Bombyx mori: one gene and its partner. The protein of the gene in region 1 purifies or fractionates together with the protein of each later gene. This does not show direct contact. Links are inferred from orthologs where the notes say so. Each region holds a gene or a part of one and is shown on either strand. Other genes may lie near its edges. The genes, in order: contactin and neurexin-4.

Region 1 (11,964 bases):
CTTAGTCGCTGTCTGTCTGTCTGTCAGAATACTCTCCGGAAATCTCGTTTGAAAAAAAAACAAGTCATAGCGCCCGGGAAAGTGTTGGGAAGTTAATTCTTAAGCCGGATGGTAATGGAATATCTCTGGAAATTTACTTTGAATGTACGCAGTATTTCCAGATACTATGGATGAACTCTGCTCCAATGGACGGAGATGTGAGCGGTCATTCCGAGTAATTCATCAGATCACTCCAACTAGTAAACTAACTGAATTGTCAAGACCTTAGAATTAGAAAAATCATTTGATTCAATATCTAAGTATTTATTTGTTCAGAGGTTTTATTTTCTTCGTAATAAAGAGAAAAAAAATCGTTTATAATTCAGATTACAGACAGATAAAATTATGTGCAAGTACATATTGTGACCGACTAAAATCTTATTTTATATTCACAGGATTGTGTCGCCTATTGCTTAGAAAAAATGGAATCAGATCCGTCTGCAAAAGATAACGCGGGATTCACACCTTTACATGTGGCAGCCGCTAAGGGTCACGTGCCAATTGCGAGACTCTTACTCCAATACGGGGCAAACGTATCTGCGGCTGCTCAAGGAGGCATAAGGTGAATTAATTTTTTGACACGCTTTTTGTTATCTTGACCTGTATTTGTCTATCTGGAATTTTAATAGAACTAGTGGTAGTTTTAGTAGGACCTCTTGTAACAACTGGTGGTAGGGACTTCTTGTGAGTCCTCACGGGTATGTATGTACCACCACCCTGCCTACTTCTACCGTGAAGTAATGCGTTTCGGTTTGAAGGGTAGGGCAGCCGTTTTAACTGTACTTGAGACCTTAGAACTTATATCTCAAGTTGGGTGGCGTAGTTATGTTGTAGATGTCTATCGGCTCCAGTAATCACTTAACACCAGGTGGGCTGTGGGCTCGTCCACCCATCTAAGGAATAAATAAATAAATAAAACAACCAAATCCTGCTCCAACAACACTTCAGGCTCTGAACAAATGTCTACATCTGGAAACCTCTACACTTGATACATTTTTGGAATATATATCTTACAGACCTCTGCACGAGGCCTGCGAGAACTGCCACGTCGAGGTGATACGTCTGCTTTTGGCGTACGGCGCTGACCCACTGCTGGGCACCTACGCCGGACAAACGCCCGAAGAGTTGACGGAGGGCCAGGCGACTAAGTTCTTACGACTTCACATCGCTGACGTGCAGGGCCAGGCCATCGAGCCGTGGAGGTTTCCACCACCCACGCACGTCATAGGTAAGTATTTGTAATCGACAACATGCTATTTAATCAATTTTGAAATATGTACCTTTTTTTTTTTTAAACGATGGGGAATCCATTTACTAATACCCGGTCAAGGGGGGTAACGAACCGGGTTATGTCGGACTCCGGCACCTCCCGAGAGGAAGAGGGAGCATTTTTGTCTCTATCTAATCGTTGGTAACCTAACGAGCTATTCATGTAAAGGGCTATTCATTCCTATTATTTTTTAAATGTTAAAATTTATTTCAGATTACGAAGAAATAGGTTGCGACCCGTTGTCCTCCCCGCCGCCCGCGTCGCCCGCGCCTCCTCCGGACGCGACCATAGAAATTCAATGCACAGAAGCGCCACTACCACCCTTCTATAGTCTCAAAAACGGGTCCGGTCAGCCGTCGGATGGTCTCTGGTGCCTGCTACAGGACATTACTAATTTATTACAGGTGAATAAGGTCGTATTTTATATGAAGTAACAGTTTAAAAAGAGATGATTTCAAATTTTATAACAGCACAATCAAGGGCATATTGCAATTGATAAATAATGTTTCTAATTATATACAACAGAATATCTCTAGTAAGAAAACTTGATTTTATTTATTAATAAAAATAAATTAGTAACAAAAAAATATGCAAATATTTTCGACCAAGTATGTACTTATAATACAATACGATTTTCCCACACTAACCTTACCCAAACATTTATCAAACAAACAAATAAAACTGACGGACATTACTTTCAGATAAAATCAAAAGACAGTCTACTGAAGCAAATCCATTGCGGATCTGGTTCCCCGAAGGAGTTGCTTCGTGAAATACGAACCCAGGAGTTCTTGGAGCGAGCGCAGTGTCACCAGCTCATCTGCGCCGGCGAGAAGGTCAACATCCGAGCCTCCAAAGTGGCTCTGATCAGAGTCACGGATAAACTGCGGCAACTCTTGAAAATAGAAACAGTGCTTGTTAGCTGACATTAATTTTAACTCACAACCCTCGACGTTTGAAATGAAAATCTCATGTATCAGCATTCAAGAAATGAAAAATAAAACAAAATTAATACACAGTGCTTACTTACTATATGTGTCGAGATTCTTAGTTCGAAATCGATCATTACTAAATATTGGAAGTCACAAATTGTAGGGAAAAAACTCGATATTTGTGACTTGTTCAAGTTTAACTCAACGACGTCGATAATGCTCGGTTGGTATAAATAAATATGTATGATTAAAATAAATGTTAAATCGTAGGAGTTCAAATCGAACTCAAATATTCCAATATAAACTTTATTAAATTGAATATAACGACTAATTCTTTATCCGGATTGACAAATTTATGAAATGTGTATTTGTGGAGCTTTTGGTCTATCAACGATGATTTTGTTTCGTCGCGACCAAAGGGAATATGCTCATTCGCTCACAGTATTGGAAGCAACAGAAGACAGTTCAAAAGATCTTCAACTCTGGACTGACTACTGTAACGTAACTTTGTATCTCATTTAAGAACAATATTCTGTTATATTAGTTTCATGAGACTGTATAATTTAAGGGCAGCCATTGTGTAATCATTAATTTCATTTTTCTGTTATGATCTAGCTTTTGTAACGCTTCAACGATCCGTTGAAAATGACTAATTGAAATTTTGTCATTACGTTTTATTTACGGATGTTTTGTACGAAATTATTTGAACAACTGCTGTAAATATTGTATATAAAAATTAAAAAGATTTCTTTTGCGTATAAATGTTGCTTTAAATGTATGATATTCTCATGGGTGCTATTTAAATTGGTGTATGGTTTATCGGGTAGTGTAAGTATTTCGCTTGCTGCGTTTAGTTCTGTAAGTAGATTTTCATAGTAAAGTAATAGTTACCATAAAATAAGTTGTTAGCATAATCTTTGTGTGTGCAATAGTATACGTGAGAACTTAACACGGTGAGAATGAATTTGATGCGGGCGTTATGTCAGTCACAGGGTCGGATTAAAGCCTTAGAACGAATTGCACTCGGTGTCATCTAATGAAGACAAGCGCACTTGTCTTGTGCGCGTAAAGCACTCCAGTGCAGTCGTCTGATAACTGCACTCTCCAGTGATATGTTCATTTAGTAAATTTTTTGTACATCACCTAAGTACAGTTATAAAATAAATAAAAATTGTTGGGATTATGCTAAATAGAAAATTTGCAATCTATAAATAAAAAAAAACTACATATTATTATATATATTATTTTTTGTTTCCTTGTTATGTTTGCTAATGTTCTTTGATCGAAATATGTTTATAGAAATATTTTTCTTTATATGTAAAACATATGATTTATGTTTTATTTAAAAAAATATATTATATTAAATCAACTTTTTTATTTTTTATGAAATCAAATTATAAAGCATATCTACTGTAAATAAAATTGAATAATAATTAAAATAACAAAAAACTATTTTGTAATTTATTAAGGAGCAAAATCAGAATGCACTCAATGAAATCATGATGTATTGAATAATTGATATAATAATTTAAACTCTGATATTTACATATTATTTTGGGATATACGAGTATTTGGCGTAGCACGAGGTCATAATCCGCCCTAATATCCTTCTTTGTGGAGAATATAATGAAGAAGTACATTGTTGATCTGTGATGACGTATTATTAGTGGAAACTATCATGAGTGCGGAAATGGTGGGAATTTATTGAAATAAATGTTGTAAAAGTGCTGTATGTGTACTTTCCGAATGAAACACGCGTAATACTATGTTTTAGCATTATCTACAATGTAAGTATTATTGTAATTAATGACACATTTCTTGTTGATAATATGGAAAATAAAAATGTGAATGTTCATAATTCAATAAAAAATGATTATTTAAAACCTTTCATTTCTAGTTTTATTTACATGAAAACAATAATCTTTGATAAAATGTTAAGTTGAAACATAAAACTGAATGTTGAGACATAAAACTAGCAAAATAGGTAGTCTTCTTCGTCATTAAATATTGGTGTTTTTCTACCCTAAGGTAATGAGATTTTTTCCATAGAGGTAACTCTCTTTTCGTAAACTATGTTCTTAAACAGCGACATTTATACACTAAACTTATATATAATATACATTCATCCATTAAGTAATTTAAAAAAAAAGGCGTTTAGAGCACCGATAACATACTACAACTCAGGTATTAACTACTCAGATATTTTGTTACCATTTATTCATTATAATCAAATAAATGAATCTCTAATCAAACAGTCGATTTTTTTTCTTTTTTTTTTATGATTGAGGGATTATTGGTGGCCCGGAGGCTTTTACAGTTTTACCAGAACAGGTGAACGAGCAAATAGGGGCGGAATTTGCTAACAGCTACCCGAGCGCCTTCAAAGGAGGCCTAGCAACTCAATAGTAAGTACCTAACTGCTTCAGTCGATTTCTTTAAATCATATCTACACTACTGAAAGCCAGTCACGTTTCTTTTTTTGCCACCTATTGCTAATAGCCGGTGCTTGGAATGCATAAAAGCACCTAGAGTGGATCCGGAGTATCGGATACTAATGTGTCTCTTGAAGCCACACGTCGCACTTTGATGATAATTATGACAGAAAACTTCCTTGAAGTGCTATGTGTCACTGTAACTGTTTTATTGTATTAGCACAATCTTTTAAATGGCTTAGGAATGCATAGAGGGTAAAGATGCAAAAACACAAAAAATATTCCTTTTTATTATTTACACTAAACTATTTGGGTGAATCTGGAAAAAAACCAACTTTATATGCCTTGAATACTATTTTCTTAGATGTCTAATGATTATTAATTAATAAAAATAGTTAAAATTTCAATATTCAGATCGAAAGATTATATAAAAAATTTTGAAACTTGATTTCACATCGTGCTACAAAGAGAAGTTATATTTAAATTATACTTATATCATTTTTAGTTTCATTGGTGAAATTTTACAATAAAGGTTTTACATGAACAAAAATCGATTCAAAAACAAATCAAATATCAGATATCATACTAATATTTAGACATCAGTGACATCACTAAGTGGTAGCTTGATTTTCCTTCATTCATTTTACGCAGTAACTATTATACTAATCTGTGCATTCATTCTACTTTCGTTCAAAAGCATACTTGGTAAATAAATGAAGCTAAGCGACAATTTTAATTAAAAATATTTATTAAAAGGTTAAACTACATACAGTTGTTATTATTACAATAACTTTTCCGCGCGAAAATAAATTTCACATAACAGCCTCAAGACTTCATACGGAAAGATCACGATAATTATGAAAAAAATGACGGTTGATTTACTGTTAAACGGACGATTTTCTTGTTGCCACTTTAACTATTTTTAGACTAGTAACTACACTTTTTAGTTGAAATGTTTTATGGTTAACCCAAAAAGGTAAATCATGCTTCAAGATATAAAAAAAAAGAGAACTACAACAGCCTAAAATGTTGATTAGTGCTCAATCTAAGGAAGGAAGAGCTAGAAGTGATCCGTGTCAGAGCGATAAGTTATTTCGTACTTAAATAAGGTTATTTTATTATTCCTGCGTACATGTTTATAATACAAATAAAAGGTTTTTTATCTAAATGGCAAAACTAGAAACGACATATCAATAAAACCTAATGAAAGCGACCTTATATGTTAAAATAGTACTTACTTGGTTTTGGTTAAAACCATCACTTTCATTAGTATTCGTATGTCATAGATATTACTAAAACTGCTTTTACTTTTCGAACACTAAAGTTTTCGCGGCTACGTACGATTGAGTTCTACCGTAAAAGTAATGTTTAGGATGTATGCGATAGTAGTTTTCGAGTAGCTCTTTCAAGATCTTTAAAAGGCGTTACTTTTCAAAACGAAACGTGGCAACACTGCATGACGGAATACTGATTTGGGCGAGGCTGCCTTGTTTATAATATTTATTATTTTTCTTATTCGTTTATGAAAATATAGTGCAGAAGATTAGTTTTACTAAACGTAGCATTGGAATTGTTTTGAACAATATAAACACGTTATGTCTAGTCAATAAGGTTTGAAAGATTATAAATAATGACGATAAAAATATTCGATTATTATTTTGAATGTAATGAATTTTGTTATTATTCACAGAAGATGAAGTGTACGTTCCTTGTACTCGCAGTTGCGAGTTTGGTGAGGACCCAAGCACCTGAAAATGGTATCTATAATCAGAACTATCCGGAAGGAAACCAGAATAATACACAATATCGTCCCGGGCCCCAAATCCCTTACGGCAGTTTTCCCGTAAATAATGAATATCAACAGCCACCTCAAAGCTCTTTCTACCAGGACAGCCTCTACAACAGTGACAGCTATGCTGAAAATGAAAATGATGTCGAAAATACTGCGAGTGTATATGCTGGCTTAGATTACGAAGAGAAGTACCGATGTCCACCCAACTGGCTCCGCTACAAAGAGTCATGTTATCGGTTTACGAAGTCTCCTGATCGTCCTAGAAATGAAGCAAGAAAAATATGCCAAGCCTATGAAGCTGATTTAGTAGCCGTCAATAGCCCTGAAGAACATGGTTTTATAATAAACAATTTAATGAGGCTCGACCCTCAGAAGGGTTCATGGTATATAGGAGCTCACCAACAGTCTCCAGGTTATTGGTCCAATGATTATGATGGTTCACAGTTGACAGGTCTTGAGAATGCTTTCTTCGACGATCGACAATTTTCATTAAATAGTTATAATATATTTCCTAAAGATTTTTTGGTATACAAATTTTCACATCAAGATGGACGCTGGGGCTTAGCTGCTGTAGAAGGTACACAATATTATCACTTTATATGTGAGGGGCAAATGCAGCGTTTACATTATTTAATAGAAGAAGAAAGATCATTCACTTATGGCTTAGATACTTATGATCCAGAAAGGATTCCGAGAGGTCCATATTTTGTAAAACAGCCGGAAGATACTGTTTATGATCCTTTAAGAAATCATTATGTCCAACTTACTTGTATAGCAGGAGGATTTCCAGCTCCAACTTACAAATGGTTCGGAGAAGATTATCAAGTTGACAGTCCAGTTTACACAGAAATAGATCCTTTAGCTGACAGTAGGATTATATTAAGTGGAGGAACTTTAATGATTTATAACCCTGACAGTGAAAAGGATAATACAAAATATCACTGTACAGCTACAAACAAGTTTGGTACGATTAGATCAGAATCTGTCCGGTTGTCATTTGGATTCATAAGAGATTTCAATCAAAAGAGGCCAGTAGAAAGTGGAAATCAATACTGGGGTAAAGTAATGTATTGTGATCCTCCTTCGTACTATCCAGCTGTAAATATTCTGTGGGCTCGGAATTATTTCCCTAACCTTGTGGAAGAAGATAAACGTGTCTTTGTGTCATATGACGGTGGCCTCTATTTCTCAGCTTTAGAAACAATAGACCGAGGCAACTATAGTTGTAATGTAATGAGTAAAGTGTCTGATGAAGGCAGAAATGGTCCATTCTTTCCCTTACAGGTTTATCCGCATTCAGATTATCAGCAATTGAAATTCCCAAATAGCTTTCCTAAAGTATTTCCTGAAGCTCCAGTGGTTGGGCAAGAAGTCCGCCTGGAATGTGTCACATTTGGCTACCCAGTACCTTCTTATAATTGGACCAGACAGAATGGCCTTATACCTAAAAAAGCTCAATTGAGTAATTTTGACCGGGTTTTAACAATACCCAATGTAGGTGTAGAGGATGAAGGCGAATATATTTGTGATGTTCACAATGACAGAGCGAGGATATCAAATAGTGTGTATTTAAAAGTACAAGCTGAACCAAATTTTACAATTCCTCTTGGCGATAAACATATGGACAACAAAGGAGAATTACATTGGAACTGTGAGGCATTTGGGATACCAGATGTTAATTACACATGGTGGAAAAATGGTAAAAAACTAAAAAAAGATAATCTAGAACCACAGGACCGTGATAGGTACATTATTCAAGACAATGTTTTGATTATAAAATATTTAGACCCAACAAGAGATCCTGGAATGTACCAGTGTGAAGCAAAGAATCAATTGAAAGCTAGTTACTCGTCAGCGCAATTACGAGTGCTCTCTTTGAAACCATCATTTAAAAAACATCCTTTAGAATTGGAGACATACGGTTCTGAAGGTGGAAATGTGACATTAAAATGCAAACCAGAAGCTGCCCCAAAGCCAACATTCACTTGGAAAAAAGACAACATAGTTATTGGGGCAGGAGGAAAAAGATTCATTACCGAAAATGGGAATTTAATTATTAGACAACTTTCCAGAGATGATGAGGGCGTGTACACATGCGTCGCAAAGAATCAATACGGCACTGATGAGAGTAGAGGTCGTCTAATTGTCTTACGTGCACCACGTTTCCTTGAAAAACTCCCCCCTCGGATCACTGCACAAGTGAATTCAGTAGTTTTCTTGCACTGTAATGCCGATGTAGATCCTATTTTAGATACAGCGTATCTATGGAACCATAATGGCTTGCGGATTAAAGACTCATCAGATCTGTATGTCAACAAAAGAATAAAAATTGACGGTGGTGAGCTAACTATTTACAATGTAAGTCTTTCGGATGTGGGAGATTACGAATGTGTCGTTAAGTCCGCTATCGGAAGAATCTCTTCTCATGTGCAGCTGCGTATAGAGGGCCCGCCAGGTCCGCCGGGAGGCGTACAAATACTTGGCATACAGAGGTCTTCGGTGACCCTAGAGTGGACCGACAGTAACTCAAACGGTCGCCCTATAACTGGATACATGCTGACCGGACGCACCCACTGGAACTCAACTTGGTACGTGATCAGCGAGAATATACCCAACGTAATGGAAGTCGATAGATACAATGGGCGTAAACGAGCCACTGTTTCCACGACGCTTCTACCGTGGGCCATATATGAGTTTAGAATTCAAGCTATTAATATACTGGGTCCGGGGCAACCGTCCGCGCCGAGTCCGCAGTTCTCAACGTCGGGAGACAAGCCCTATGAGGCGCCCGCGAACGTTAGCGGCGGCGGCGGGAAGACCGGTGACCTCACAATCACGTGGACGCCCTTACCGACCTCCCTCCAAAACGGACCCGGCATACATTACAAAATATTCTGGCGCCGGAACGGCTCCGAAGTCGAATTTCAGTCCTTGCTTCTTAAGAAGTACGGAAACATCGGGACATACGTCGTGCACATATCTTCCACGTATTTCTACACGCCGTACGATGTCAAAGTACAAGCCTTCAACGATATAGGTCCCGGGCCAGAGAGCGAAGTAGTAACCATTTATTCGGCGGAGGACATGCCGCAGGTCGCGCCGCAGCTGGTCTCCGCGCGGTCCTTTAACTCCACAGCCCTGAACGTGACCTGGAACCCGATCGATCAGTCGCGCGAGAGGCTGCGCGGCAAGCTGATAGGCCACCGTCTCAAGTACTGGAAACAGGAGAACAAAGAAGAGGAGTGCATCTACTATTTGTCTCGAACGACTCGAAATTGGGCTCTTATAGTTGGTCTCCAGCCAGATACATATTATTATGTGAAGGTATAATTTATATTTGATCAACTATGAACTTGAACTTTACTGGTGGTAGGACCTTTTGTGAGTCCGCCCGGGTAGCTACCACCGCCCTGCCTATTTCTGCCGTGAAGCAGTAATGTGTTTCGGTTTGAAGGGTAGGGCAGCCGTTGTAACCATACATGAGACCTTAGAACTTATATCTCAAGATGGGTGACGCATTTACGTTGTAGATGTCTATGGGCTCCAGTAACCACTTAACACCAGGTAGGCTGCGAGCTCGTCCACCCATTTAAGCAATAAAAAAAGAACATATTATTGGTATGCGTGTACTATCACAATAATGTGTTCCCCAGGTGATGGCGTTCAACTCAGCGGGAGAAGGCCCGGAAAGCGAGCGATACTTGGAGCGCACGTTCCGCAAGGCGCCACAGAAGCCCCCGGCCTCCGTCAACGTGTGGGCCCACGACCCCACCACCCTGCGCGTCGTGTGGCGGTATGTCCAACCCACCAACGAGGAAGAACCTCTGCTCGGATATAAGGTTAGTGTTGCGGAGTGCCGTCGAGCACACACCACTAGTTTATAAATAGGAAAACTGAATTAACAGACTAGAAAAATGTAAGGAGTTGTAAATGTTTACTGGTGGTAGGAACTCTTGTGAGTCCGCATGGGTAGGTACCACCATCCTGCCTATGTCTGCCGTGAAGCAGTAATGCGTTTCGGTTTGAAGGGTGGGGCAGTCGTTGTAACTATACTGTAACCTTGAGAATTTTTATCTCAAGGTGGGTGGCGCATTTACGTTGTAGATGTCTATGGGCTCCAGTAACCACTTAACACCAGGCGGGCTCTGGGCTCTTCGATCCATCAAAGCAATAAAATAATAATAATGTAAAATTAGAAATTTAAAACTGTTGTTTTATATATATTTAAAGAATGCCTTCCATCGATTAGTAAAATTAATGCGAAAGAAACCTTAAAATGGCTGACATATATATTGTTTTACAGTTTTTTACAGTATATTGTAGTTGCAAGTTATCCAGAAGGATACATAAAATTATTATTATATTTATTATATATTTGTTAATGTTGCAATTAAGGAGTGTAGTTTCAAACGTTGAACAATTATTACTAGTTAGGCATTCGACATCCGCAACGCCTTTATATTGGATCTTCTGCGCTCTCTTCTAAACGATAAACTAAAACAGTTTCAGTAAACGAATTACAAGGTTGTAACTATAAATATAAATCAATAAACTTCAAAACGAGACGCAAAAATATATCGTGGCCTAAATAGATAGGATGGTCATAAAAATTGATGCGAGTGCTCAATATAAACCTCCAATGCACGTAGTAATGTTTTCTTTTACTTTTGTATATATATTTATGTATATATATATATATATATTTTTTATTGCCCTTGTAGGCAGACGAGCATACGGCCCACCTGATGGTGAGTGGTTACCGTCGCCCCTAGACTTCAGCAATCTCAGGGGCAGAGCCAAGCTGCTGCCTACCTGTATATACCTATCTGTATATACTGTTATTTATATCGTTTTAGGTACGATTATGGGAGCTCGACCAAGACATGAGCACAGCGAACGATACCATTGTACCGATCGAGCACAAACTAGAGGCCTACATCAGCAACATCATTCCGGGCAAGTCGTACAACCTTCGCGTGCTGGCCTACTCCAACGGCGGCGACGGCAGGATGTCCTCCCCAACCATCGCCTTCCAGATCGGAGACTACCATTCCGAAGCGTACGGCTACTACGCGAGAGGATCCACGTCCAACCATCGACACAAGCCGGTCGAGTTTCTACTAGCATCGATATTTCTTGTTTATTTTTGTGTAATCCACCATCGAAGTCTCGATTAAGTTGAAATTCTAAGTTTCTCCATGACCATTCAAGTGAATAAGAAATTTCATATTTTGATACTCCGTTCTATTTCGTAGTATGTCAGTCAATTTTATTTTGTTAAAAGTAACTATTGTTACACAAATATTTACATATTTTTTTTTTTTTGTAATTTTATTTTATTCCGCCCATGTCAAGTGATTATGTAACTTTCTATCACAATATTTATTTTGTTTGATCTGTATATTTTGCACTGATTTTTAAATGCGATTTTGATTTTTTTCATATTTAAATTGTAGAAAATTAATTTTAAGTTTAAATGTAAGTTGACAATAAGTGTAT
Region 2 (11,966 bases), about 3.3 Mb from region 1:
TTGAGTGCTGTAAATTAAGTTATTAGTAATTGGAGAATTTGCATTGTCATCAATAAACACTTTTACGATTTGAAATTGTGATTATCTGTGGTGACTGCGCGGCTAATGTCAAATATTGGAAGCGCTAAAAATTATTACGATTTAAATGGTAAAAGTGTTTGTGAACGCGCCGTGGAAAAGTCTAGAAAACCGAATCGTTGTATTCGAACCAAATTAATATAAACGATATTAACAACATTTGTAATTGATGTAGAATGGATTCAATATATTGAGCATAAAACGGACATAAATTTGTTATGGAAATACGTTTAAACGCCAATTAAATAATTAGCACATTTAACCATAAGGGGTTGTGCCTAAACGAAATTAGTTTACGAGATGGTCTGCTCTGTTGAGACAAATGGCTACTGCCTTATCTGTCATCCTCTCCTAACATATCGACGCTTGAAAGGCAAACGTGACTAAGCGACTTTTTTTTTTTTTTGACTAAGCGACAATGCGCGAACTTTACAGTAGACTAATTTAAAGTTGAAATACCTGAAAACAAAATTTATTTTAACGAATCTAGATGTAGTAGAATCTAGCTAGTACCTGTAGGATTGAAATGATTTTAATAGACCTAGAAATATATTTTTTGCGCATCGAATATGGTTATTGCTTATCATTTATGTACAGAGCAGTTATTGTCGCTTAGTCACGTTTGCCTTTCAAGCGTCGATATGCTTCACAGATTTTGCCGCTCCGGTAACGGCTTAGCACCAGATGGGCCACGAACTCGTGGATCGAACAACTACAATTACATTCTACATCAACCACAACACAACAACAAATAATTTGATCACATACCGTCACGTAGTTCGGTGACGCCCGACGTGGTGGTCTGCGTTTGCTTCGTATAGATCACCGTCTCCTTGGGCGGTATGTCCGTGGACTGCACGAAGACGACTTGTAATTCTTGAGGTTGCTTCTTTGGACCGCTGGCGGGATTCAGGAATAGAGATATATGTAAATAACTGATAAACACTATGCCTTTTTAATACGCTTTTATTAGCTTCAGACGTATGTATGTAACGGAATCTTTGAACATGATTTTGACCCCCTTCAAAACATTGGATTAACTGGAATTTTGGTATACTTATTAAGGACCGATGAAAATTTAATATAAAAAAAAATTAAGATTAACTAAAAAATAGAAAATAAATTTTAATAACTTTGAATTAAAAATAGTGCAGGAAAAAATGATTTTTATAAAAAAAGCGTGGGGTGCATGATATCAATAGTTATAAATATTTTATGAACAGATATGAGTAGAAGGGTTGTTTTGATAATATCCTGAAAAGCTTAGTTTTTTTAAACTATTATTTATTTTAAAGTTTAACAACGCCTAATCGCTATGACTCATCAATATGAAATGCCACAATATTGCTTATATTGTTCTTGTTTAGACATCACTGACCATGACAACTCGTATGCGGAAAAAAACTCAGTCAGTTTTCAAATAAACATGTTCAGCTCATCACTGGTGATTGTCGAACAAAAATTATGATAATACTAATAATCATTTACTCGAAATCGTCGTGGCCTAAAGGTTGAGATCGTTAAGTTCGTATCTTGCGATGCAACGGTGTTCGATTCCCGCGGGCAGGTACCAATCTTTCTAATGATATACGTACTTAACAAATGTTCACGAATAACTTTCATAGTGAAGTTATTAATTGTGTAATAAAAATCAAACCTGCAAAAATTCTAATTTGCGTAATTCCTGGTGATAGGGGCCTTGCCTACCATTCTGCCCATTTCTGCCGTGAAGCACTAATGTGTTTCAGTTTGAAGGGTGGGGCAGCTATTGTGCTATAAACTCATGCCTCAGGGTTGGTGGCGATATCTATATTGTTGTTTATATCTATGGGCTCCGGTTTGCACTGAACACCCGATGATCCGTGAGTTCATCGACCTACCTAAGCAATAAAAAAAAGTTTCTAGAAAGAATTAAAAAATTCTTCAGCTCAGAACTTATTTAACTAACTAACCCTTGCAATTGTAGGCTGGCTTTATCTGTATGCGGTAAACTGGCATCTGGTGAGGCTGTCTGAGGTGGAGACAGTGAAGTCATTGATGATAAAGAAGAGAGGACATCCTTAACTGGAGCCACTCCAAGGGAGGACAGCATCTCGTCAATGTCACGACGACTGTCCAGGCTAGATGTGGCCGATGCCCGTTGCTACAAAAATATTTATTTGTTTAGTCACATCTGTGGGATCAGCAAATTTAATCTAATTTAACCAAGATATAATGTAAATTTTTATTCTGGCTACATGGATAAATAAATCCACCTGGTCGTCAATTGGTTAACAGAGACCAGAGACATCACATCATGAAAGTTCTTATTCAGTTTGGAACAAGAGCTTGAAATAGGCACAATGGTGGTATCTATGTCATCCTCTCGATCTTAACTATCAATTATAATGAATTTTTTATGACAATTTGATAAATTTGTACAGGAATCCGGTCTTATCCCATTTGAGCACCATATTAAGCTCCTATAGCAAATAGATGCCTCCTAAATTTAGTTTGTTGAATAATGTTATTACTGACCAGTGCTTCTTCAGCATCTTTCTGTTCTTTTTCTCTGCGGCGCCGATCTTTATCCTCTCTTATGGCGCGGAGCTTCGCCTTCTTTCGCTCCAACTCCGCCTTCCGATCCGACATGCTCAACGTCTTGGTTACTGCAAAACATTAAATTTTGATATCTTAACGGGGTTACGAAATTTTGAGTAACTTTTGTCTGAAAATTTTTAAGTAAATAAAAATAACAATGAAGGATCTTAATATTATTTTAAAGAACTAAATAATCAATTCTTAATAAGTTTATGTAACTCAATGCTATTTTGCCATTATAACAATAAATACAATGGCTTGTTGGTTATTCATGGAGTAATCCGACTAAAAACTAAATATAGAGTGAGGCATTATTTGATGAATGACACTTCTCACATTCACTTATTTTTAACTTAAGTTCTCAAAGAAATTGAAATAATTAGTAAGTTTGACCAATAACACATTGTGAGATTACCACTGCCGTGCTGGATGTGAATGCCAAGAAAAAAGATTGTGGTTGTAGCAGACAAAAACAAATATAATGTTTTGACAACCACAAGGTGTGATTTTTCGCTTGTTTTTTTTATTTTATTGCTTCGATGGGTAAATGAGCTCACAGCCCACCTGGTGTTTAGTGGTTACTGGAACCCATTGACATCTATAACGTAAATGCGCCACCCACCTTGTAATATAAGCTCTAAAGTCTCCAGTATAGTTACAACGGCTGCCCCACCCTTCAAACCAAAACGCATTACTGCTTTATAGCAGAAATAGGCAGGGTGGTGGTACCTACCTGCACAGACTCACAAGAGGTCCTACCACCAGTAAAATGTCCTAAATACATTTTCTATAAAAAAGATTGCAATTATCAATCTGCTCAGTGAGCAAACTCAAACTCATAATAGACACAGCCCCACTAGACTAAGCTGAAGCTATATACTAATATATATAACAATACTGAAGTAACACAACAATAAACAGACAACGTTTCACAGGTTATCCTGGTGTTCATTATACAAAGTTTACGAAAATTAATAGAACAACTTAGGTGAATACACACTGGGCCTGATATAACTACTGAGAGAATTACCATTGAAATGCAATTAAATTGTTGGAATGTTTCATTTGGTTTTTAAGAATACACAATGAAAATATTAGGAAAGTTAGGCAGGGAATTTAACATTGGTATTGGTAGATGATGAAGTCTCAGTTTATAATCAAAGCTTGTGTATAAATAGCTTATTTCTAAATGGTGTATTTAGGATTTTATTAAGTTAAAATTACAAAACAATTGAGTCAAAAAATTTTTAAACCAACATTATTAAATTGTCAATGTAGTAGTTTAATACTTTATTATCTGTTTAAAACATACAATTTACATTTATATATTATATTGTTATTACAATTTAAATTACTTTATGTAACTTTATTGATTGATGAATGATGATGTCATAATTTGTATATAAGACCGTATTATACGCTGAGGCCGAAATTTTGACTTACCTTTTAATAAACACAGCCAAAATATCTACATCAGAGTCATATTAATAATTATACAGAATAAAAATGCCGACAGAACGTGGCAAACAGATGATGAGTAACGGGATGTTCAATGAATCCTAGTTCCGAAACGAAGATCTTAGCGAAAGGTTCATAAATTCGGTGTTTTTTAGAAGCTGTTCCTTTACTTATCAGTAATTCCGGATAATTGTAGAATAAATTTCAATAAATCAATACAAGAACATTGTAGATCCGATTGACTCAGTTGTTTTTTACTCTTTTTTTATTGTATCTGACATTTCGTTCAATGAAATGAACGTCAAACCTCCTTAATAGTGATCTATGCGTCAACTCGGTAGAATAAAATTTCAGAGACTATTTGGCGGGAGCGCGAGAAGTGAAGTTGTGTGATTTGTTTATTTTGTCTATTTAGTATTTCTTCAGGTTTAAATGTGTAATAACGGTGGTTTATTAACTGTTTAACTTCTGTGAAAGTGTACAACTGAAAAAATCACAGTAAATGACCACCATTTTACTGAGATTATATTTCATCCCATATCATCTTATCTCATTTGATTGAATTTCATCCCAGTTGATTAATTTCTCAAATTAATCATCTTCATATCATTTCTTTTCACTCCATATTATCAGTTTTCATAAAAATAGGAATATAAATTAAAATAAGACATGACCTTAAGGTCTTAGTTACCAGGTCATAAAATCCCTTAAAAAATAAAATTTCACATAATTTTAAATAAAATTCATGGCAATTGGCGCATTGAGAGTCTTTTGGTGACCTTGAGGAATTAAATACCTTCGGTAAGACTACTTCGGAATGCACCACGAACCTCCCCCAAGAAAACCTCAAGAGAACTAATTAATGTGTCTATCTTGGATCAACTGCAGATCAAGACAAGACTGTCTACATTCTGCCTTCGCAATGCACTCGCGTACTTCGGTCATATTGCTCGGAAAACGGCCGATAGCCTAGAAAGACTACTCAGGACAGGGAAGATCGAGGGAAAGAGACCGCGCGGGCGCAGTCCGACAAGGTGGTTCAATCAAATCTGCACCACACTAGGGATACCATTCCACGACGCCCTTCATGCGCCCAACTATCAGAGGCGCTGGAGTTGGAGGGACATTGCAAGAAATAAAATCCTGTCAAAATATGTTGGTCACGACCCTCAGCAGTGAGAAAAGGACGCGAGGGGAGGTGCCTTGAGAAGCCGTGAAGCATTGTAATTATGCCATTGTTGCTAGGCAAATTTATGACATCTTTAGTTAACATTATGCAAGTACTATATTAAATGAAATGAGTAAGCCAAGTTTAATTTATCTGTAATTATAATACTGGATAATATTTATTGACGGCTTACATAGGTACCGACTTTCAGAGTAAAAATTCATGTTTTATTATTATATACAATAAGACAACAGTAATTAGATAATTTCAAATTTTTTTATGTTCTCCACCCATCACAAGTTACAAGTGACACAGTTTGTTATCTAGTTTACTAAGTTGTGTATATATTTTTTACGTGCTGAGATTGTTTTATTTTGACTAACTTCTAGAGCATTAGAATAAATTTTAATTCTTTTTTATGTAGTCTGCTTATTAAAATACTTTACTAAAATTTGGAGATTTCATTTATTTCAAAATCAATTGGTTTGCGTCAATAAATTTTGACCGTTACTTTAGTTACAAATTTTTGTGGTAATCTTGATAAATGCTGGCAGCACTACAAGGGTGTTGCCCGGCGCCGGTTTATATGACAACTGCCCAAACTGACAACGTTCGTAATGATCAAACACTTCTTTTATGTTTAATTTTAATTTTCGAGTAATAAACTGCAGCATTGGTTTTCTACTACATTTAATATAATTATGAAATGATGACTGGATTTCAGTATTATTTATTTGTTTTGCTTTGTTATAGCATTACAAAATCCGGTGCAGGTTAGTGTGATAACCCGCTGATTTTTATTCAAAAACAGTTCAAGCGCAATGGGCTTATTTTATGCATCATCCGATCTTTGAATATTTAGAGCGATTGCTAAAACTCGTACACTTTTCACTCCACAACAAATTGTTTTAATGAAACTTGGTTTTCAATAGCTTCTCATGATCAAATATATTTATTATTTTTCAGATTTCGTGCGTTATTATTACGATTACGAATGCAATGAGCCTTTGGTAGCTAACTCTAAACTATCGGCTACTTCAAGCTTGCGTGATAGAGGACCCGAGAATGCTAAGCTATATGGTAAGAAATAAAAAAATATCGATTTAATACGGGCTTTAACATAAACGTCGTTTTGAAAATGTTGTGCTGCTTAATGTTAGACCTTAAAATCAGCTTAACTTAAAAAAGGCAAAAAGTACACCTGCAATCACTGTTTATATCACCTGATGAGTGTAATTATCAGTTGATGAGTAAAAATCGATTTTAAGTTCCCCTTAAATTGTTCTTTTACAAAATCCATCCCAAATACTAGGCATCATTTTGATTTCCTATTTGCAGGAGTGTCTTTTTCCAGTACTAGCTGGAAATGTTTTTTTTTAAAATAAGTACGGTTTAAGTAGAAGGGATGAAAAGCTATTTTGTTTATTCTAAGCTGTTACTATTTTGTTATATTTTAGTCAATGGTGCCTTAGATTTCAGAGTGTGATATAAGCTTTATAAAGTGTTATTTAAATGATTTACAGTGAAATAAATGGAGTAGTATTGGAATCCTCTGTAATCATTTAGTGTACTTCAAATTAAAGAATAAAGTGTTTTTAATGATGCCTGTAATTTTTGATCACTCTTTAAAAATATCATGAAATAAAGTTTAGTAATTAAAAAGTTATGGTTAAGTAATTTGAAAAAAAAAAATGGTTTTCATCCCTTTATCAATTTTTGACTTACTTAATTTATTGTGAAATTGTTGTGTTCATTTTACAATTTGAAAAGCTTTATGTTTTTGTGTTTGGAGCATTTTATAAAAGCTCACAAGGCTTGGTTTTCACAGTATTAGGTAGTATTAATCATAATAAAATATGGTACAATCATATTTTAATTAAAAACTGAGATATATCACACATTATTAATATGTTATATATACATCATAGAAGTTTTTAATGGGTCAGTTGAAATGGGTGGTCAATCAAATCTTTTACAAATAAATATATGATATATATATAAAGACTTAATATTTTTCTTGTTACATAAATGGGTGAATGATTTCACAACCCACCTGATGTTCAATTATTACTGGATCCCATAGACACCACAATGAGAGTACTATGCGCCTTGAGACATGAGATAATGCCTCAATTGTATAGTGTAATAGATGTCAAACTTTTCAAATCAGAATGCATTACTGTTTTGTGGCAAATTGAATAATTCCAGGCATTTTTTTTATTATATAAGTAGCATCTTTGTGCTATTTATAGAACCATATAATGGTAGTAATACTAGTTTAATAATAAATATTGCTCTGCCAATTTGTTGTAATGGAAAATGTAAGGCAAAAACTTTAAATTGATTCGAGGCTACAAAAAATAGCTACCATATTTTATCACTACTTTGGTATATTGTTTGTTCTGCTTTACTTTAAAAGTTCACTAGATTACACAATCAATCATTTGAATGAATGTTTATTGCATGTTAAAAGTTTTTTTCCAAGTGTTTTTTGATTATTTTGTAGTTATAACATATTAAAAGAACAATAAGATTAAATAAACAGAAAGGACCTGAAACCATATTTCGTTGGTCTGCAGGTCCTCAAAACTCTCTGTAATAGGACCCCAAATTATAAATATTGCAGAGTATTAACAAAAATGGCCAACAAAGGCAATGTGCGATGGGCATTTAATACACGTGAGTGGCAGCCAACGAAAGAAGAAATATTATTGGCTTCAAGTTATATACAAAATGAAGAAAAACAGAGGATATCCAGATTTGTCTTCCAGAACGATGCTAAATCGTCACTTATTGGAAGACTCATGTTAAGAAAGTATGTACAGACCTCAACATCGACTCCTTATGATGAGATAAAATTTGGTAGAGATGACCGTGGGAAACCGTTTTTGCTTAATCCTATTGATTTGAAGATAAGTTTCAATGTTTCTCACCAAGGAGACTTTGTGGTTCTAGCTGGATGCAAAGATTGGAATGTGGGAATTGACGTCATGAAAATTGAGCCACCTGTGAACAAGAATATCCCAGAGTTCTTTCGGATCATGGCCAGGCAGTTCTCACCACGAGAGTGGTCGACTATACGCAGTTTTTCAACTGAGTTAGAGCAAATTGCTTGTTTTTACCGTATATGGTGCTTAAAAGAAAGTTACGTAAAGAATGTGGGGTTTGGTATAACTGTTCCTTTGGATGAAATCAGTTTTCAACTGAAGAGTTTACATTTAGAAATGGGCAAAATTGTTACTGATACTGTTCTCTATGAGAGGAATGCTTTGAAGGAGGATTGGATCTTTGAAGAGACATTGCTCGATGAGAAGCATGCTGTAGCTGTGTCTTTGCAAAAGAAAGATAATTCAACAGATGCGCCAGTATGCTATGAGGTTTTGTCTTATCAAGAGCTGGTTGAGGAAGCCAAGTCTTTGTGTAGTACTGATGAAACATTTAGTGATGAGTTTGTGAAGAAACAATTGAAGAATTTTTAATAATAGCGTGTATTTAGTCTATTTATGGGATATTTAGTTTTTAAATATTAATAGCATTTTATGGGGTCTGGTTATATTGTAATTTGTCGGGATTTAAGCTTTTAAATGTGAGACTAGTAAATTATATATATTAAAAAGAAAAAAAAAATTGTAATTAAAACTAACACCAAAATGAAACTAACCTTACAAGGAAGGATAGAACGATTTAAAATAAACTTTTGTACACAAGGTACAAACGCTTGGACTGCTTCGGAGAGTGATTTCGATCAGCAACTGATTGTTGACTTTGGCAGTGTTAAGAACATAACCAGGATCGCAGTGCAAGGTCGGGCTCATTCCCAAGAGTTTGTCCAGGAATACCATATCAGCTATGGATCGAATGGCCTAGATTACGTACAGTATAAAGCTCCTGGTGGTGAAGTGAAGGTAAAAATATAAATTTTTCAGCAGAAAGGTGCTGGTATGCATGTTTTTGGTTTTGTAGATTCTGTAGATAATGCAGTAGATAGTCAAATAATGTTTCAATTGGTGTAAAACTGTCCCCAAACACTTCTTTCTAATGATAATAATATTTCAACATCTATCTTATAGCCCTTAAATGCAGAATAATTTTACACAACGGTCAAATTAAATATGGTTGCAGCAAGCAGACCTGTTTTTGATAAAAAAAAATTTCAATGTCATGGTTAAAAAAAAAGTAATCATAATAAATTCACTGATGTAAATTTTTTATTGCATTCGGAAATTCATGCATTAAAGGGTTATTTTACTAAATAAAATGTAAATATCACACTGTAAATAATTACACGGTTTGGTTACTAAATTAACTAACTGTAACGGTGAAGGGACATCGGCTTGGACGCCCTTCGAGAACTCGTACTACCAGCATCTGACCCTGGACTTCCACAAGCGCGTGGAACTGCGCGGTATTGCCACAAAGGGGAGGTACGCGACAGACGAATATGTCACGGAGTACATGCTTCAGTACTCTGACGACGGGGAGAGTTGGAAACTTGTGGCCAGGAGGGATGGGTACACGCAGGTATTGTATAACTATAGGTGCTTGGCTTGACACTTAGAGTTGCTGGAGCCTATCAATGATATGGAATAGAAATTAATAGTTGCGACCACAGTTATGTACATAATATTTAATTTTGATTGTACAAATTAATTTTCTTTATAATAACCCAACACTATTAAATTATATTTGAGTTAAACATTATTATTTAATGCCTGTTTTTTTATATTTAATAGTAGTTCATTGCATGTAAAGTATGATTGTGGGACCTACATATGCAGAGCCACAGCATATAGTTTAGGACTTTTACTGTACTTACTTTAATGTAATAATGTTTAATGAATGTATGAGTATGAATGTAGTAGTACTACACTAGTACAATAAAATACTTCCTTGACATTCATTAGTTGACATATGTATTCATAGATTACAAGAATAAACTCCAGTCGGGCATCGGAGCTGACACTCACATATTTTCTTTTAAACAGCAATAAATCTATTTATTTGTTTTTTCTGTTATTTGACCTTTGCGCTTAAATAAATAAATATGGAACCTACGCGGTTCGAGAGGTGAAAGGCTTTTTTTTATTGTTTAGATGGATGGACGAGCTCACAGCCCACCTGATGTTAAGTGGTTACTGGAGCCCATAGATATCCACAACGTAAATGCGCCACCCACCTTGAGATATAAGTTCTAAGGTCTCAGTATAATTACAACGGCTGCCCCTCCTTCAAACCGAAACGCATTACTGCTTCACGGCAGAAATAGGCAGGGCGGTGGTACCTACCCGCGCGGACTCACAAGAGGTCCTACCACCAGTAGCTATTTGGTTTAAGCGACATTTCGCTTAATACGCCCCATTTAGCTTTGTAATTGCGTGTAATTTGATACTAGTATGAACAATTTGATGTTTTCAATTGAACATCAATTATGTTCACCACGTTCAAATAGCCTGTGCGAAACAGCAACGCTATTTTCCTCACCGCGGCGGAAGCGAGGGAGAGGCGTGGACTTACAAAATAAAACGACGTGCATCAACGAAAAATACAATCATTGTCGGTCCCGTAAAATTGTACTAATTTTGATCCGATTTAATAAATACAGTCTACTTTTGTTCGAATAAGCCTTGCACCCAACATCTCATCCCAACGGCGCCAGCATAGCTGAAGAAGTTTTTTTGTCATAATATTTTTACAAAACTTTGAACTGTAAATGGCACCTCTGTAAAGTTACAAAAATGTCGTTTAAACCGTAACGGTCTTACACCCGTCGATATGATCTGATTGGTATGATGGACATATATCGAGGTATCATACTTCACACAATCAACTGGCTTACATGTCGGTAGTCTGGCAAACGATTTATGTAGAATAATAAAGCAGGCAGCAGCGTGATAGCTAAAAAATAAGACTATATTTTAATGTAGTAAACTATTGTTGGGTCAATCTACGGCACCTCTGGTATATGCATGCATTTAAATTACTTTGTTAGCAATTATCATGCTTTTATCTATCTCTACTCTGTGCGGAATATTTTGTTTTCTAAAATTTTCTTCAACACATCCACATTTCTGATACCTACACACTATATTGCTTGTGGCAGTGGCAGAGGGGCTAATATTTTGAGTAAATTATGTTTAGGTTTGGACAGGGATGATGAACAAAATTAAGTACATAATTAAATAGAAAATCTGGTGTTTGTTGTACAATTGACATACAGGTCTAAACCACAATAAATGTTTTTCATTATCTTTAAATGAATTACTTGAGCGGTCGATGACCCGAGTCCTTTTATAAATCACAACTGGTATGGTACTGTCGTGATTGAGATTATTGTGGTAGGTACTTGCCTTGCTGATGCTCTCCATTCCATGTTGTACATTTAAAATTCAAACTTCGTATTTGTGCTACAGTTTGATGATGGCATTTTTATTGTGATGTGTATAAACGTCGGCAACCGCTTAACCCCAAGTGGAACGTATGTATGGTAGTTTTCATTCATCATGGTCGTATTCTTCGAAGCAATAAAAAAACATTCGATCGAAATCTCAACTCTGAACTGCAATGGGATATACGATTTTTAAATTGGAATATATGATGCTAACACTACATAATTCGTGTTTAGCTTTGTCTATGCTAAGGGCGCATAACATTTCATACCACCAGTTAATCTGTGTCCCCAAGG

What was found.
Region 2: the proteins of contactin (region 1) and neurexin-4 purify together in Drosophila melanogaster (affinity purification with western blotting; 4 studies listed by BioGRID). This does not show direct contact. The link is inferred for Bombyx mori from reciprocal best matches to the Drosophila melanogaster genes Cont and Nrx-IV.

What each region holds. Positions count from the first base shown.
Region 1 is NC_085115.1:12,547,435-12,559,398, reverse strand, and holds the start of contactin, read left to right. Parts: upstream 1-5,403; 5' UTR 5,404-5,782; intron 5,783-6,011; exon of another isoform or gene 6,012-6,284; intron 6,285-6,363; 5' UTR 6,364-6,366; coding exon 6,367-9,789; intron 9,790-10,118; coding exon 10,119-10,304; intron 10,305-11,321; coding exon 11,322-11,642; 3' UTR 11,643-11,964. Other genes in the region: uncharacterized protein LOC101735345, read left to right, coding at 435-601, 1,056-1,267, 1,523-1,713, 2,011-2,235. UniProt on the Drosophila melanogaster protein: Required for organization of septate junctions and paracellular barrier functions.
Region 2 is NC_085115.1:15,824,867-15,836,832, forward strand, and holds the start of neurexin-4, read left to right. Parts: upstream 1-5,846; 5' UTR 5,847-5,990; coding exon 5,991-6,057; intron 6,058-6,250; coding exon 6,251-6,364; intron 6,365-8,992; coding exon 8,993-9,189; intron 9,190-9,608; coding exon of another isoform or gene 9,609-9,805; intron 9,806-11,966. Other genes in the region: cytoplasmic dynein 1 intermediate chain, read right to left, coding at 847-977, 2,031-2,221, 2,596-2,709. UniProt on the Drosophila melanogaster protein: Seems to play a role in the formation and function of septate junctions.